2 linked regions of the Caenorhabditis elegans genome follow. The protein of the gene in region 1 purifies or fractionates together with the protein of each later gene. This does not show direct contact. Each region holds a gene or a part of one and is shown on either strand. Other genes may lie near its edges. The genes, in order: scl-3 and F16H6.8.

Evidence for each region.
Region 2: the proteins of scl-3 (region 1) and F16H6.8 fractionate together in Caenorhabditis elegans (co-fractionation; one large-scale study listed by BioGRID). This does not show direct contact.

The regions. Positions count from the first base shown.
Region 1 is NC_003282.8:13,055,258-13,063,684, forward strand, and holds scl-3 (SCP domain-containing protein), read left to right. Parts: upstream 1-4,326; 5' UTR 4,327-4,370; coding exon 4,371-4,413; intron 4,414-4,464; coding exon 4,465-4,601; intron 4,602-4,843; coding exon 4,844-5,199; intron 5,200-5,245; coding exon 5,246-5,345; 3' UTR 5,346-5,438; downstream 5,439-8,427. Other genes in the region: scl-1 (SCP domain-containing protein), read left to right, coding at 1,134-1,301, 1,447-1,584, 1,632-1,849, 1,905-2,004; scl-2 (SCP domain-containing protein), read left to right, coding at 2,465-2,638, 2,690-2,827, 2,998-3,209, 3,642-3,741.
Region 2 is NC_003283.11:18,211,879-18,220,765, forward strand, and holds F16H6.8 (Mediator of RNA polymerase II transcription subunit 1), read right to left. Parts: upstream 4,398-8,887; coding exon 4,178-4,397; intron 2,983-4,177; coding exon 2,626-2,982; intron 2,578-2,625; coding exon 2,218-2,577; intron 2,170-2,217; coding exon 1,799-2,169; downstream 1-1,798. Other genes in the region: F16H6.9 (BPI2 domain-containing protein), read left to right, coding at 5,206-5,224, 5,362-5,718, 5,767-6,123, 7,746-8,102, 8,151-8,507.

The sequences.
Region 1 (8,427 bases):
AGTACAAAATGAATGACTAAAATGAATAAATATTTTATTTGAAAGATAATAACAATGCAAGCGTTTTCAAACGTGCGGTATAATTGTTTCTGACTCCAATCATTTAGACCAAACAAAAAAATCAAATGATGATTTCACAAAAACTACAGTAGCAATAGTTCCATCTTCCCTTTCGATATCCCAACCATCGGAACAATCAAATTCTTGAAAACCGATTCTGAAATTGGAAATTGATACCGTATTTCCTATGTCAGTTTAGCATCCCTACAGATTTTTAAGTAAATTAGAAATTTATTCACTTGTTGCCAGACCTACACATTGTTTGAAATAAATAAATAAATAAATAATTTTTTTGCCAAAGAACAATCATTTTTCCTTTTTACCACTAATACCTGTATACTTTTTCTCGGCGTACTTCGTCCCATCGACTAACTACTATTTCATTCAACACCACTACCCAATCTCTTATTTTGAAATCATGGTCCAAGTGGAATCTTCTCAATTCTTTCATGTTTCCGTTTAATCAATTACGGATAAAATGATTCAAGTATTCTGGAGTAAAGCTATGGTTCCATATTGTCAGTTCTTCACACTTCATCAATTTGAAGTCCTCAAGTGTAAATCCTGGATTGAAGTAAGAATCCAGTCGGCGAATATTGAATAAGTTAAATTTAAAATTACAGATAAATTACGATTTAGTTTATTATAATTATTAATATTAATGAGGAAATCAGTACTTACTATATTTTTTGTCAAAGTATAAAGTTTTGTTAATAAAGTTTTGTTCCAGTTTTTTGCTTGATTCTCTAGTAATTATTCGAGTACAAACCAGGGGTGGGCGGCAAATTTACCAAATTTGCCGAGTCGAAAAGTGTGTGGGTTTGAAGCCCGATAGCATAATATTTTCAGTCCGGCTGATCTTTTTGATATCCGTAAAAAGCTCAATTTGTTGTTGTTATTGACCAAATCGTTTGGATCATTTATGAGTTTTCTCTACAATGGACAAAAATAAAGATTGTTGTTGTTTACGTTTTGCAAATATTAAAAGTTATTTGAAAATCTCGTACTTGATTAAAAAACTCCTCTCATAAAAAGCAGCACGTTTGCAACTTTAAATCATAATTTTGTTTGCCATGTACTTCATTCTCTGCCTCCTAGCAATTGGTGTCAATGCTCAATTCACTTCAACTGGTCAATCAAGCATTGTGGATGCTCATAACAAATTGAGATCCGCTATTGCAAAGAGTACCTATGTTGCGAAGGGAACCAAAAAAGAACCAGCAACTGATATGAGGAAAATGGTAGGTTTTAAATTGCCCAATTATGTCAAATAAAAAACTTAAAGTTTTCTTTTTTCAAGAGTTTCAAGTCATTCAAGTTGGGGTAACTTTTGGCAATCATATTTGAACAAAAAGCCCAATGATGATACTTCAATAAACTTTTCAGGTCGTGGATTCCACCGTAGCTGCGTCGGCTCAGAATTATGCGAATACGTGCCCAACTGGACACTCAAAGGGAACTGGATATGGGGAAAATTTGTATTGGTCTTGGACTTCTGCGGATGTTGGATCCTTGGATTCCTATGTGAGTCGCATAACTTTTCTGGGACAGAAATCAATAATTCTTTCCAGGGAGAAATCGCCGCTGCCGCATGGGAAAAGGAATTCCAAGACTTTGGCTGGAAGTCTAACGCAATGGATACCACCCTATTCAACAGTGGAATAGGACACGCTACTCAAATGGCTTGGGCAAACACCAGCTCCATCGGGTGTGGAGTCAAGAATTGTGGACGAGACGCATCGATGAGAAATATGAACAAAATAGCTGTAGTCTGCCAGTATAGTCCACCGTAAGCACTGAAGTTTTTGATTTTTTTTAACTCAAAATTGTTCAAAAATATTCAGAGGAAACACTATGGGACGGCCGATTTATAAGGAAGGAACTACGTGTTCCAGCTGTTCCGGATCTACTAAATGTGACACTGCTTCTGGGCTTTGCGGATAATGAGAGATTTCACTTTTTGTGTCTGTAATTTTTTAATTTATTTGTTTTGTTTTAATCTGGGAATTAATTTACTAATGAAGCATTTGTTTTTTCTTGGTGATTATATAAAAAAAATAAAGCGAAAACTTTAAATTACACCAAACTTTTTTAAAATTTACGAAAATGCACACAACATCAAGTGCAGGCAAAAGTAAAACATTCTACTTGCCTATGTGCCAACAACAAAATTAGGAAGAAAATTCACTTCTTCCTAATCAGAATACTTGTTGACTTGACTCAAATGTTCATAATTACTGATAAAAGTCAATTCTTTGGTCTTGTGCTGCCCACTTCCGATCATACGTAGCTTACGATTTCTCAATTATCATACAATTTTACAGGTTTTCGCGTGATAAGACTCCTATAAAATGAACCGCAGTGATAAACATATTCGTGTTGACTTGCACTTTTTTCTCCAATTATGAATTACTTGTTGCTGGTTGTGGCGCTTGCTGTTGGCTGCTCCGCTGATTTCGGCTCTTCCGGACAAAACGGAATTATCAATGCACATAACACTCTGCGGTCTAAAATTGCAAAAGGTACCTACGTGGCAAAAGGAACTCAGAAATCGCCGGGAACAAATCTGTTGAAAATGGTATGTACATAACTAAGGTTCTCAGATTTATTTTTGATTTCAACTTTTCAGAAATGGGATTCCGCAGTCGCCGCATCCGCCCAAAACTACGCAAACGGGTGTCCGACGGGACACTCTGGAGATGCAGGCCTTGGGGAGAATTTGTATTGGTATTGGACAAGTGGATCTCTGGGAGACCTCAATCAATATGTCAGTCATTTAGTCTACCTTGTGCCTGCCTGCCTAGACCTACTGCCTATTTTGTTCAAATTTTGCCTAAATACAACATGCGAATATTGGCAGTAGGCAGGAGGCAGGCGCTTGATACCTTCTTTATTTTAAAAGTTTCTGAAATTTCTATAATCAATCTTTTCATTCAGGGATCTGCTGCGTCGGCATCATGGGAAAAAGAATTCCAAGATTACGGATGGAAGTCTAACCTTATGACTATCGATCTCTTCAACACAGGAATCGGACACGCGACTCAAATGGCGTGGGCGAAATCCAACCTGATCGGATGTGGAGTCAAGGATTGTGGAAGAGACTCAAACGGCCTGAACAAAGTAACCGTCGTGTGCCAGTACAAGCCGCAGTAAGTGAGATTTGTTGACTAGTCTATGTTGACTGTGTCTGCGAATGTTGTGTTTTGTGTTGTTCTCTAGGATAGGTTTGCAAAAAAGATAAATTTTTGGTCACGTTCCCTGAAACAAAATCCAAAAAATTAGGCAATTTTCAACAAATTTTGATCATTTTGAGGAGATCATTAAAAACAAAAAACCCAATAAAAATTATACAAAAATACGAAAAATATTGTTGTTGGCGAAAAGTGAACTGTGCTTCGACAACTGGTAAAGTAGTCTTGAACACTTTGTGAGTTAGGATTTTTCTGAAGAGTAAAAAGTAGTTTTAGGAAAATTAATTTCAACCGAGACAAAATTTTTAACATAAAAAAAAATTGAAAAGTGTATGTGCGAGAGAGCCCTGTTGAATACAAGCTACTGTTTGCTAATACATCAATTTTCAGAGGAAACTTCATTAATCAATACATCTACGTATCGGGAGCAACCTGTTCCGGCTGTCCATCAGGAACGTCATGTGAGACTTCCACAGGGCTCTGCGTCTAAACTTTAATAATGCAATGTGTTTTCAAACTTTCTGTAGATAATAAATAAAATTGTGTGCTAGTTGAAAACCAGAACACAAACAACCTTTGATCAAAATGCCTATGTAACAAATGCGACGATTACGTGTTCGAAATCCTATTGGCAGATTTGGAGTATAATGAGCAGTTAGAACTTTATTGGGAGGTCAAAGACTACTTGTGTCTAGAGATGTATCTAAGTTATGAAAAAAGTTCAAGCTATAGGTTTTTTGACTACGATATCTTGTATGTATTTTCAAAGATGTTGGTGATTTAGTTGAAAGTTAACAGCTTGAAAACGTTTTTATTTTTCCGTTTCTGACTTCCATGAATTTCAAAAAATTACCGTATGTCTGTATTGTTACTATCTACTGTGTGAAATTTCAAAAAATGAAATCCAACTTCAGCCTCCCTTTTGTATATAAAACAAACAATGTCAACATAAAACTCTTACCAATTTAGTCTATTTCTATTAAAGCACACGTTCTTTAGTTTTTTCCCTCTTCCCATGACTTTTAGTTTCCCTCACGGCGACGACGACATCCAGTTGTTCATACAAACTAAAATCTCCTATAAATATCCAACCTACTAGTTGTATTTTCAACAGACAACATGCACACCTTTACTCTTCTCGTTTTGGTTACCCTTCAGATTGGTAAGTTTTTTTTTTGGAAATTTTTGAAACTAATTTTCTTCAATTTTTCAGGAGCTTATGCTCAATTCAGAGAAAGCACTCAACAATTCATTGTGGACCTTCATAATAAGCTTCGTACTTCAATTGCCAAGGGAACATATGTGGCTAAAGGGACAACAAAAGCAGCTGGTAGTAATCTTTTGAAAATGGTAGGTTTTCGGCAGTTAGTTACTTTGTGATTTTCCAATGAATGGAACCTTCAGTTGAAGGTCTTTGCTAGGTTCAAGTGCTCTTCAGAGCATTTTCTAAAGTTTCAGTCGGCTTCTCTACAGATCTGGGAGCACTTGATCTGGAGTTAATTAAAGGGTCTGATGTAGAGCTGGCGTAGACTTCTTAGACCTCGCCTACTATCGCCTACTACTCACTCCTTATACCTCCAATACCATTTCAGAAGTGGGACACCACATTGGCCACCGCTGCTCAAACTTTTGCTAACACTTGCCCGAGAGGTCACTCCAATGCAGCTGGAGTTGGAGAGAACTTGTACTGGAGATGGTCCAGCCTCCCATTCTCCGGAATGGATATCTATGGAGGAGCTGCATCTGTTGCCTGGGAACAAGAATTCCAGCAGTACGGATGGACAACCAACACTTTCACTCAAGCCCTTGCTAACACTGGAATTGGACATGCTACCCAAATGGCTTGGGCTAATACTGGTCTGATTGGATGTGGAGTGAAGAACTGCGGACCTGATCCAGAACTAAATAACTATAACAGAGCTGTTGTGGTTTGCCAATACAAGGCTCAGTAAGCATTTGAAGCAAACATGCACATAAAAACGATGAATTTTCAGAGGAAACTATTTGGGTCAAGACATCTACAAGTCAGGAACCACTTGCTCAGCGTGCCCAACTGGAACCACTTGTGAAGCTGCCACTGGACTTTGTGTATAAACTTGTGGAAAATGATTGAAACGTAGATAATATTTCAACACTGCCCATTGCATTCCAATATTCTTTCCATTGTGTAATAAATTTTCTTATATTTTTTTGATGGACTGGATAATAAGAAAAAAGCGGCCTAATGTGTACATGAGTCAGAGATCTATTGTATTCATTAAAAAATCTTCCAAACCAAAACATTATGCATAAACTACCTAATTAGTTTCTTATTTGTTCCTAATTTGGATCGAGCTTTTCATATAGGCACTAAAATCCCTTGCCTACCTGCCTTCAAGACGACCTACGCCTGGCTTATGCCTACATGGTGTAAACTCTGAACATCAGAGTTCCCAGCACCAGGCAGAGAAAAAGACACTGACGCCTGCCTACCTCCTATGAAATCCCTAATTTGAAGTTTAACCTTGCTCAAACGGGGCTCACTAAATACACAATGTGTCAAAAAATTGGCGAGACAAGTTTTGTACACCTGCTCGTTACCGCATGATCAACGATCTGTACCACGCATTTTCTCGAATGGAGCCTAGTTTACAAGCATCTGATTACACAAAATGGCTCATTGGATTATTGACTTAGAATAGGGGAAAATCGATCACGAACTGGAAATAAGAAGTTTACTCGAAAAAAGGTCTAACAATTTAATATTTCTGGTTACTTGGCAATTTTAGAAAATATTTTACAGTAACAACTTTTCTTGGACTTTCAAAGAAAAAGTGCCCTAACCGTTTTTTAAGAATTAAAAAAAATTTTAAGAAGCTTCCAGGATGTTAGCCTACTCCCGAAAATCTTTAAAATTTTGCTTTTGGGGTAGGCTCACGAGAAATTCGTTCTAAGTATGTAGATAACTATAATTTTTCTTCCGGGAATCAAAAATCATTGATCTTTGTATTTTCTTTGCGTACGTGTGTCTTTGTGTACGATTATCATAGTTTAAGTTTTTTTCTTCTTTTTCTGAAATATAACAATAAACTACACGAGAACATCTAGACGTATGTTTTGAAAATGTAAATTTGAGGTTTTCTGAAAATATAAAACTCTTGATCTCGAACTATTCGTGCATCAAACTAAGCCAGTTTTCTTCGTGATCTTCTGGATACTACATAAACTATATAAATATACAAAAACTATATTAAAACCTACGAAGTTTGATTTCGATATCGAAACAATGAGAACAACATTTCTCATAATTCTACTTAGTATACTGGCAATAGGTAAGGATAATATTTAACTCAAACGAACTAAATATATTTATGTTACAGGTAGCTCTGCTCAATTTGTGGCAAATACCCAACAATTTATAGTGGATATTCACAACACGTTTCGTTCAAAGCTTGCACTGGGAACTTATGTATCGAAGGGTGTGACGAAGCCAGCAGCAAGTAACATGTTGAAAATGGTAAGTTATTTTTGAAGTTGTGTTAGAGCACCATTTTATTGGCTTATATCTGCTCGAAACTTTGCAATTGGAAAAAAAAATTAAAGGTAGGGGCTTAAATTATTAAAAACCTCCAATAGTGTTGACCAAAATCGCAGTAAATATTCTTATAAAAATGTTTTAGTTACAGTCAAAAAGCGTTGAAAACTCAGTTTTCTTCAAAAAGATATCGACCAAAAAATATTTTCTACGAGGGCTACTTGTTTACTGATTAAAAAATTGTAGAAGTTTGAGCCAGCAGCAATTTTTCAAATTTAGTTTTTTAGTAATTCAAAAAGTCCACATTTTTAACAAAAAATTAACATTTTTCTGAGACTGAATTTTGAAAAATCTGAAATTTTGGAGTGTTTTGTTCCAGATCTGTCATGTTGGACTATTGTAAGTATAGTTAAACTAAATCCCCCATTGGCGATATTCCACCTTCAATCAAGTCTTCACAAATGAACACCTAATCCTCCAATTTTATAGAAATTGAACATCACACTGACTGTCTCAGCTCAAGCCTACGCAAACACATGCCCAAAAAATCACTCGAATCTCGAGTTGGGGAAAATATCTACTATAGATACACCACTGCGCCATTTTCCGGTATGAATGTTTATGGCGGAGCTGCGTCAGTCGCATGGGAGCAAGAAGTTCAGAGAAATGAATGGCCATCGAATATAATCTCAATCGATGTTTTGCTCGTGACCGATGAACTCAGAATCATTTTGCACGCAACACAAATGGCATGGGCAACATCTGGACAGATTGGATGTGGAGTTAAAAATTGTGGAAAGGATATGCCAGATAGACCAACTTTTAATCGAGGAGTCGTTGTGTGTCACTATAGCTCTTTTTAAGGAAAATAGCAAAAAACATTAGAAAAAGACTACGCAAAAATTACAGCAAAATGTCTAGGAGCCAAGATTTAGCGGAGCGTATTTTGGCTTAACGCAAAAATTTTCTTTGCATTTTTGCATCTTTTTAGGTTTTTTTTGTACTTTGGTCTAAAATTATTCTTAAAAAATTCTTTCCACGACACATACTACCTTTCTATCACAAAACTAAACATTTACAGAGGTAACATAATCAACCAGCAAGTGTATCAAACCGGGCCAACCTGCTCTGCTTGCCCAACCGGGACCACTTGTGAAACTGCAACCGGGCTATGTGGCTAATGCAACGAATTCAGAATTCTTTATTTTTTACAAGTTACTGCCAAATTAACCCAATATGCTTTCTGTGATAACCTGAAATAAAGCGTCTAACTTTTTGAATTTGAACATTGAAATATTGAAAACTTATCCGTCATAGCGAACCTTCTACGTAAAAACTAAACAACTGTTTTTGTAAATCATAATTTTTCAAATTGAGGATGACAATACAACACAGCTAAAAATATACATGAATCATTTAAATAGTGATAAATACTTTGATATTTTCCCAAAGTTTCAACGGATAGAAAAAATCGACATGCGACCGATTAATTTTGCATTTCAAAAGATCAACAGAAAATCATTTTCGCATCGTATCGGAAATAGAATATTCATAGATAAATAGGCCTAGACAAATAAACAATCATTTTTCAATTTTGGAGGAAGAAATAAGCCTTGTTTTTCAAGACTGTGTAATATTTCCCGGCGTAGAAGTTTCAGTCTC
Region 2 (8,887 bases), on another chromosome or scaffold:
AGTTTTTGCCACTCATAATTTTGGAAGTCGACCAAAAAATTTTTTTTCCTTCCTTTTTTATACTTTAGCTTTGGTTTAATGATTTGTATTAAAACATTGTAGGGGTCGGAACAGCGGCATTGGTCTGAATTTCCTCGAAAACTCATAGTTTTCAAAATTCTGGCAATTTGCCAAAACTTTATCTAAGCCCGTTTTTCAGGTCCACCAATCATTGAGAGACTATTCCGTTGCGACAAAAATTGGAAAGCACTTTTCGCATGCGGATTGAGCACGATCGTTTCTGCTTGTACCATCGGCTCATCTCCATTATACGAATGTAGTCTCATCGCCTTTGCTCTCTTTTTAGGTTGGTTTTCAGTAGCATTTTCCAGAGTCATGTTAAATTTCAGCTGTTCATTTTGGAATTGGATATTTGTTGCTTAAAACTCCTCAAACCATCGAAAATAGCACGATTTAGATCCTTGATTTGTTTAGAATGATCATGAGCCTGATCGTTACCCAAATGGGGTTTGCGATGCGAAACGATGTTTCCTTCGTCGCTGACAAAATATCTTTTTGGTATCTAAGGGTATTTTTCTTTGTACATTACATTTTTATGTGCGCGTTCACCTACTTCATTGGGTTGGCAAATCTATATCCACTAGAAGGTTTGTTTAGGCAATATACATAGAACAATAGAGAGAATTACAGATTCTTTGGAAAATCGAGAGATCACCCAATTCTTAGAATATGTGCCCGAGGCTCGAGACAAATCGATCGACTTCTTCACGCTAAAATTCGAAGAATTGAGTAAAGCTCTCAACCATTGCAAAAAGCTCAGAAAGGAGTTGGAGGAAATGGTCTGAATTAATTAATTGTACTTTTTTTTGTTGATAAATGTTCATAAGATTTATTGATTACCATGTTTTTTTTTCAATAAAATACTTTAAAGGAGGACGAACGGTTTGGACGATTTTGAACGTATTATATATACCCAAAATAAGGCTGCCGCCGCGCCGGCCTCACGGCATCCCTTACGCCGCACGGATAGCGCGGCGCGGAACCTTGAACGTGTCGGCCGCTTCCAAATAACTTTGCACTACGTTGCGCACACACCAAGCTACTCATTTCACGGCAAGCTGCGGAACCCGAACGTGTCGGCTGCTTCCGAATAACCACCTCTCGCACTTCTGTGCACACACACCGCGGCGTCGGCGTGCTCAAATAAACAAATTACGTAGTGAAACTTCTCAGTAACGTTACAAAAGTTTTTTATCGCCGCTCAAAATTTCGAAAAATTGTACTGATTTTAGCTAAAATGCCAAATTTTGCCCGATCAATAATCTCAATGCAAAAATTGCCAGGAAGACCAACCGAAACGACAGCACATCATCGCCAGGACCAGAACGACCAACTCTGCAGCTTGATTATTTTTTCTCATATTGCTGCCAACAACAGAAACGTGTTTGACCTTTCATGACAAAATCATTAATTTTTGTTTATTCTCTTTAAGATTTAAAAATTCTCACGTGACATCGACCTCCCCCCTCAGCCATGTCTCCATCAATCAATCGCTAAATCAGTACTCGATTCAAGTTCCACACCTGAAGTCTCGCTGTCTGCTCCATCAACTCCTAGTGCTCGTCGTTTGATTTTGATCCGTTCGTGCTCCAAGCTTAACAATGTAAGCATTAAATTTTCTCTTGCTCAGGATTCGGAAGGGAGCTAGGCCAGGCAGCTTTTCACTTTTTTCGATGTGTTTCACACAAACGAATAAGACGGCAAATTGCCGATTTGCCGAACGACAGGTCATACTTGACTAACTTGACCTACCTTTTGTGAACATTCTTTCACAAGCATTGTAGTAATATGAATCACTCATCAGGGCACCCATTGCGGTTGCAGATCTGGATCGAACTGCTTCCAATAGCGAATCCAGGAAAACTAGCAATACTTGTCTTTTCTGATCAACTTGACCGACGCTTTTTTGACAGTGAAACTGCTTCGCATGAATCAGAAGTCCACCATTCCCGGCCACCGCTACACCGAATCGAATATCAATTGGTACAGAACGCAGCCCGGTCACAGTGATGTCGACCAGATAATACTCAGGTAATTCTATGACTTCAATGACATCGAACTCCACTTCCCTGTCGGCTGGTCGGTTGACAAGACGTTGAATTATTTCTTCTGAAAAATAAGAAACTATTCATTAGTTCCATAACCAATCTGAATTACCCTTTGAGAATGTTCTATCGCACGCTTCAAAGATATACTTGTCATATATCAGATCGCCAATTGCGGATGGAGATCTTGAATGAATTGCTTCCAATAGTTGATCCAGGAAATCATTAATCACACTTTTTGTCTGAGTGACCTGACTGACTGCGTTTTGGCAGTTGAATTGTTTTGCATGAGTCAAGAGAGCACTGTTCCCTTTGACCTTTACATCAAATGCAATATCAATTTGTACAGATCGGAGTCCGGTCACAGTGATGTCGACCAAATAATATATCTCATTAATTTCTACAATACGTTTGACATCAAAATCAAAAGTTCTGTCGGCTGGTCGGTTGACAAGGCGTTGGACGATTTCGTCTAAAGAATAAAAAACCACTCATCAGTCTCATAACAAATCTGAATTACCTTTTGAGAATTTTCTTTCGCACGCTACAAAGATATATTTGTCATCTATGAATGCGCTAATTGTGGTGGCATCTCTTGATCGAATTGCTATCAATAGTGAATCCAGGAAAATGTTTATTACACTCTTTCTCTGATCAACCTGACTGACGGCGTTTTGGCAGTTAAATTGTTTCGCATTAGTCAAGAGAGCACTATTTCCCAAAATCTCTACATCAAAGGCAATATCAATTGGTACAGATCGGAGCCCGGTTACAGTGATGAGGACGGTAAAATGTCCCGCATTTTGTTTATAAGCTGTAACAATGAACTCGACATTTCTGTCTGCTGGGAGGTTGACAATACGTTCGATGATTTCGTCTGAAATATAGGAGAATGTTCAAAAGTTATATAGATACAAGGTGGATCATGATTTTGTGAGATCGTCATTCGCTAGGAATTCTCGATAGTTTACTCGTGCAATCCGAATTAAGATCGTATTCCTTGTAAAAACTAACTTTGGATAATGGCAAACATGTTTGGAACACGACTTATGTTAAAATTTACGAGACAACATTTTGTGCCTAAAACTAGGGCTCCCGCAAAGGCGCCTCCGCCGGCCTCAGCTGTCGCCGCGCCGGCCTCACGGCGTCATCCACGCCGCATGTACAATGAGGTGCGTAACCGCGAACGTCAGAACTGGTCAATTTTCTTTTAATTCAATCAGAAACTCAGAAAAATCCAAATTACGAGCAGTATGTAGTCTACTGGTAAACTAGCCTTTTCTTTCGAAATTTATACGCTCGGGCTGGAAAGAGCCTCTCATAATGGGCAGAAGCCCTGGCAAGAGGAACTTTTGACAACTTGTAAAGTAAGGGCGCTATAAGGTCATAAGCTGAATGTACCCTAATGTATAGTGCGACGCGGAACCCCGAACGTGTCGGCCGCTTCAAATAACTACCTCTCGCACATCATTTCACGCACACTGCGGCGCGCGGCTTCAGCGCGCGGCTTCGGCGCAAGGCCGGCGGGCGTGAAGCCTGCGTGAGGCCCGCATTTCGCGCCTCACTCAGCTGGGAGCCCTACCTAAAACTGAGTTTTATAACAACACATGGTGTCATTCTGTACCATTACAGGTTGATCTAAAAAAAATGAGAGAATGTTTTAAATCATGCAAAATTTGTTAAGAATTCTGACTCTGAATTTCCGCAAATCCTGGAAAATCTAAGTAGATCAAATCGAAAAGGGACACTCTGGCATTAAATGTAACATAAAGCATGTATTTGTCCAAGGGTTACTCTAACTGTGTCCCCAGTTGCACTAAATAATTTCACCTAAGCTAAGTGTATAGAAATCTGTGTAAAAACCCAGGGTTGTAAGCCTGAAGGCTCAAAAAATGCAAGTCGCCAAAAGTCGTAAGAAAGTTGATTTGACAAGGATCTATAGTAGTTTAACAGCGGGATACGGTTTATGTTAAAGTAAATGGAAGGAACTTAATTGAACTATCAATTCAATTCAAATCATTCAACGAGTCCGCATTATTCTGACTTTTACAGTGCTCTTTTATTTCACTTACCCTTTGAAAACTTTCTCTCGCATGCTTTGAATACATATGAATCAGAAATCAGGGCGCCAATGGCAGATGCTGATCTTGATCGCATTGCTGCCAACAGCGAGTCCAGGAAATCAAACAGATTTTTGGTCTTATCTACCAGATTGGGGTTGTTTTGACAGTTCAATTGTTGTGCAAAAGCCAAGAGTGTACTATTCCCTGTCACATCTACAACAAATCTCATATCAACTGGAACAGAGCGGAGTCCGGTGACAGTGATGTCGACGAAGTAATACACCTTTGTTTCTACATGCTTTATGTTACATTTAATGCCAGAGTGTCCCTTTTCGATTTGATCTACTTAGATTTTCCAGGATTTGCGGAAATTCAGAGTCAGAATTCTTAACAAATTTTGCATGATTTAAAACATTCTCTCATTTTTTTTAGATCAACCTGTAATGGTACAGAATGACACCATGTGTTGTTATAAAACTCAGTTTTAGGTAGGGCTCCCAGCTGAGTGAGGCGCGAAATGCGGGCCTCACGCCGGCTTCACGCCCGCCGGCCTTGCGCCGAAGCCGCGCGCTGAAGCCGCGCGCCGCAGTGTGCGTGAAATGATGTGCGAGAGGTAGTTATTTGAAGCGGCCGACACGTTCGGGGTTCCGCGTCGCACTATACATTAGGGTACATTCAGCTTATGACCTTATAGCGCCCTTACTTTACAAGTTGTCAAAAGTTCCTCTTGCCAGGGCTTCTGCCCATTATGAGAGGCTCTTTCCAGCCCGAGCGTATAAATTTCGAAAGAAAAGGCTAGTTTACCAGTAGACTACATACTGCTCGTAATTTGGATTTTTCTGAGTTTCTGATTGAATTAAAAGAAAATTGACCAGTTCTGACGTTCGCGGTTACGCACCTCATTGTACATGCGGCGTGGATGACGCCGTGAGGCCGGCGCGGCGACAGCTGAGGCCGGCGGAGGCGCCTTTGCGGGAGCCCTAGTTTTAGGCACAAAATGTTGTCTCGTAAATTTTAACATAAGTCGTGTTCCAAACATGTTTGCCATTATCCAAAGTTAGTTTTTACAAGGAATACGATCTTAATTCGGATTGCACGAGTAAACTATCGAGAATTCCTAGCGAATGACGATCTCACAAAATCATGATCCACCTTGTATCTATATAACTTTTGAACATTCTCCTATATTTCAGACGAAATCATCGAACGTATTGTCAACCTCCCAGCAGACAGAAATGTCGAGTTCATTGTTACAGCTTATAAACAAAATGCGGGACATTTTACCGTCCTCATCACTGTAACCGGGCTCCGATCTGTACCAATTGATATTGCCTTTGATGTAGAGATTTTGGGAAATAGTGCTCTCTTGACTAATGCGAAACAATTTAACTGCCAAAACGCCGTCAGTCAGGTTGATCAGAGAAAGAGTGTAATAAACATTTTCCTGGATTCACTATTGATAGCAATTCGATCAAGAGATGCCACCACAATTAGCGCATTCATAGATGACAAATATATCTTTGTAGCGTGCGAAAGAAAATTCTCAAAAGGTAATTCAGATTTGTTATGAGACTGATGAGTGGTTTTTTATTCTTTAGACGAAATCGTCCAACGCCTTGTCAACCGACCAGCCGACAGAACTTTTGATTTTGATGTCAAACGTATTGTAGAAATTAATGAGATATATTATTTGGTCGACATCACTGTGACCGGACTCCGTTCTGTTCCAATTGATATCAGATTCGCTGTAGGTGTGAAAGAGAATACTATACTTCTGGTTCAAGCACAACAATTGCATTGTCCTAACAACCCTAATCTGGTAGATAAGACCAAAAATCTGTTTGTTTTCCTGGACTCGTTGTTGGCAGCAATGCGATCAAGATCAGCATCTGCCCTTTGCGACCTGATGACGGACTCGTATATCTTTGAAGCTTGTGAAAGAAACGTCTCAAAGGGTGAGCGATCATAATTATGTTGGTCATACAGCTAGATTAACACTATGACAAATACATGATTCATGTCACATGTGGTGTCAGAGTGTTTTGATGCCTCATCATTTTGATCTACGTAGATCACGCAGACTGTTCACCATATTTCGCATAAGAGTGCTGACGTCACTTTATTTTGGAAAACAATTCCCGCCTTTTTTTTGTAGATCAGAATTTAATGGGTCAGCCTGGCACCACGTGTTGTTATAACACTCAGTTTTAGTCCAAAATTTGAAATCTGAAGAACCGTATATCTTCTATTAATATGGCCTCCCTATTAGACTTGCACTCCCTAATAGTATTGCAAACGGGAAGGCCATCGAAAAATAGTATTGCAGCCATATTAATAGAAGAAATACGGTAGCTTATCCAGCTTCCTTTAATCATCCAGCTGCTCCACATTATTTAAATGTTACTGATTTTCTAAACCTAGTATACCAAAATTTAAGGTCTTATACAGTGCGTCCAACTTCTATAGGACCCCCCTCAATTTTGGTGGTTTGAGACTTCCTGAACATTTTTGTGGAAAACTGCCAATGCCATTTGATTTTAAATGTCAAAAAACATATACCCGTATAATTTCATGATGATAGCTCAAAAACTACGCGCGCCCGGGCTGAAAGTCAAAAAAACGGCTGAAATTTTAAAAACTTATCAAATTATTTTTTTGAGATGATTACATAAAAATTATCTTAACATCTCAATTGCTCATAACAAACTAAAATATGTCACGCGAAAGTGCTGGGAAGCAAACGGGACCGTCCTGTACCACTTTTCAGTGCTTCTGAGCCCAGTACTTTGCTCCCAGTAGTCCTAATATCACAAAAAGTTTGGAAAATGTTAGTGTATATCCAAAGATTGTTCCTGTGAAATTTTGTCTAATTTGGAGCATTTTCAGATGTTTTATGGCAAAAATAGTTTGTAAGCCAAATTTTTTGGTTAAAAATGCCTCAGCTACCTGTGTCATTGAATTATTTTTGCCATAAAACATCTGAAAATACTCCAAATTAGACGAAATTTCACAGGAACAATCTTTGGATGTACACTAACATTTTCCAAACTTTTTGTGATATTAGGACTACTGGAAGCAAAGTACTGGACTCTCAAGCTCAAAAATGAGGTACAGAACGGTCCCGGTTGCTTCCCAGCACTTTCGCGTGACATATTTTAGTTTGTTATGAGCAATTGAGATGTTTAGATCATTTTTATGTAAACATCTCAAAAAAATAATTTGATAAGTTTTTAAAATTTCAGTGCTTTTTTCGATAAAATTTCAAAAAACTGGGGGTCTTATAGAAGTTGGACGGCCGTTTTTTTGACTTTCAGCCCGGGCGCGCGTAGTTTTTGAGCTATCATCATGAAATTATACGGGTATATGTTTTTTGACATTTAAAATCGAATGGCATTGGCAGTTTTTCACGAAAATGTTCAGTAAATCTCAAACCACCAGAACTGAGGGGGGTCCTATAGAAGTTGGACGCACTGTTCTAAATAAGTAGCTCATTTCTTATGCAATCTGTCACGTCTTTGCGTCCACAAAATCCTGACCAACCCTGTATGCCCCGAATGATTATTCTCCTATATTTTAGATAAAATCATTGAACGTATTGTCAACCTACCAGCAGACAGAAATGTTGAGTTCAATATCACAGCCTATAAAGAAAATGCGGGACATTTTACCGTCCTCATCACTGTAACCGGACTCCGATCTGTACAAATTGATATTGCATTTGATGTAAAGGTCAAAGGGAACAGTGCTCTCTTGACTCATGCAAAACAATTCAACTGCCAAAACGCAGTCAGTCAGGTCACTCAGACAAAAAGTGTGATTAATGATTTCCTGGATCAACTATTGGAAGCAATTCATTCAAGATCTCCATCCGCAATTGGCGATCTGATATATGACAAGTATATCTTTGAAGCGTGCGATAGAACATTCTCAAAGGGTAATTCAGATTGGTTATGGAACTAATGAATAGTTTCTTATTTTTCAGAAGAAATAATTCAACGTCTTGTCAACCGACCAGCCGACAGGGAAGTGGAGTTCGATGTCATTGAAGTCATAGAATTACCTGAGTATTATCTGGTCGACATCACTGTGACCGGGCTGCGTTCTGTACCAATTGATATTCGATTCGGTGTAGCGGTGGCCGGGAATGGTGGACTTCTGATTCATGCGAAGCAGTTTCACTGTCAAAAAAGCGTCGGTCAAGTTGATCAGAAAAGACAAGTATTGCTAGTTTTCCTGGATTCGCTATTGGAAGCAGTTCGATCCAGATCTGCAACCGCAATGGGTGCCCTGATGAGTGATTCATATTACTACAATGCTTGTGAAAGAATGTTCACAAAAGGTAGGTCAAGTTAGTCAAGTATGACCTGTCGTTCGGCAAATCGGCAATTTGCCGTCTGCCGATTTGCCGGAACATTTAATTTTTGCTAACTTGCCGATTTGCCGTTTGTCGGATATCAGATTTGCCGGAAATTTTTAGAGATATTTTTCATGAGACGGAAACTGTGCCTTTTTGAAACTCTTTTTTCCGTTTTCTTCTGATATTTCTTATAATTTGCTTACTTTTTAAAGCACAGAGCGGTTTTTACTACGTGGCCGTAAAATAGGAAAACTCGGCCACCTTCACAATATGGATACGGAACATTTTCTCAAAAATCGCTACGGTGGAACTATAGAACCCCTTTTCGAGAACATTCTCGTCAAGTTTCAGAAACATCCCAC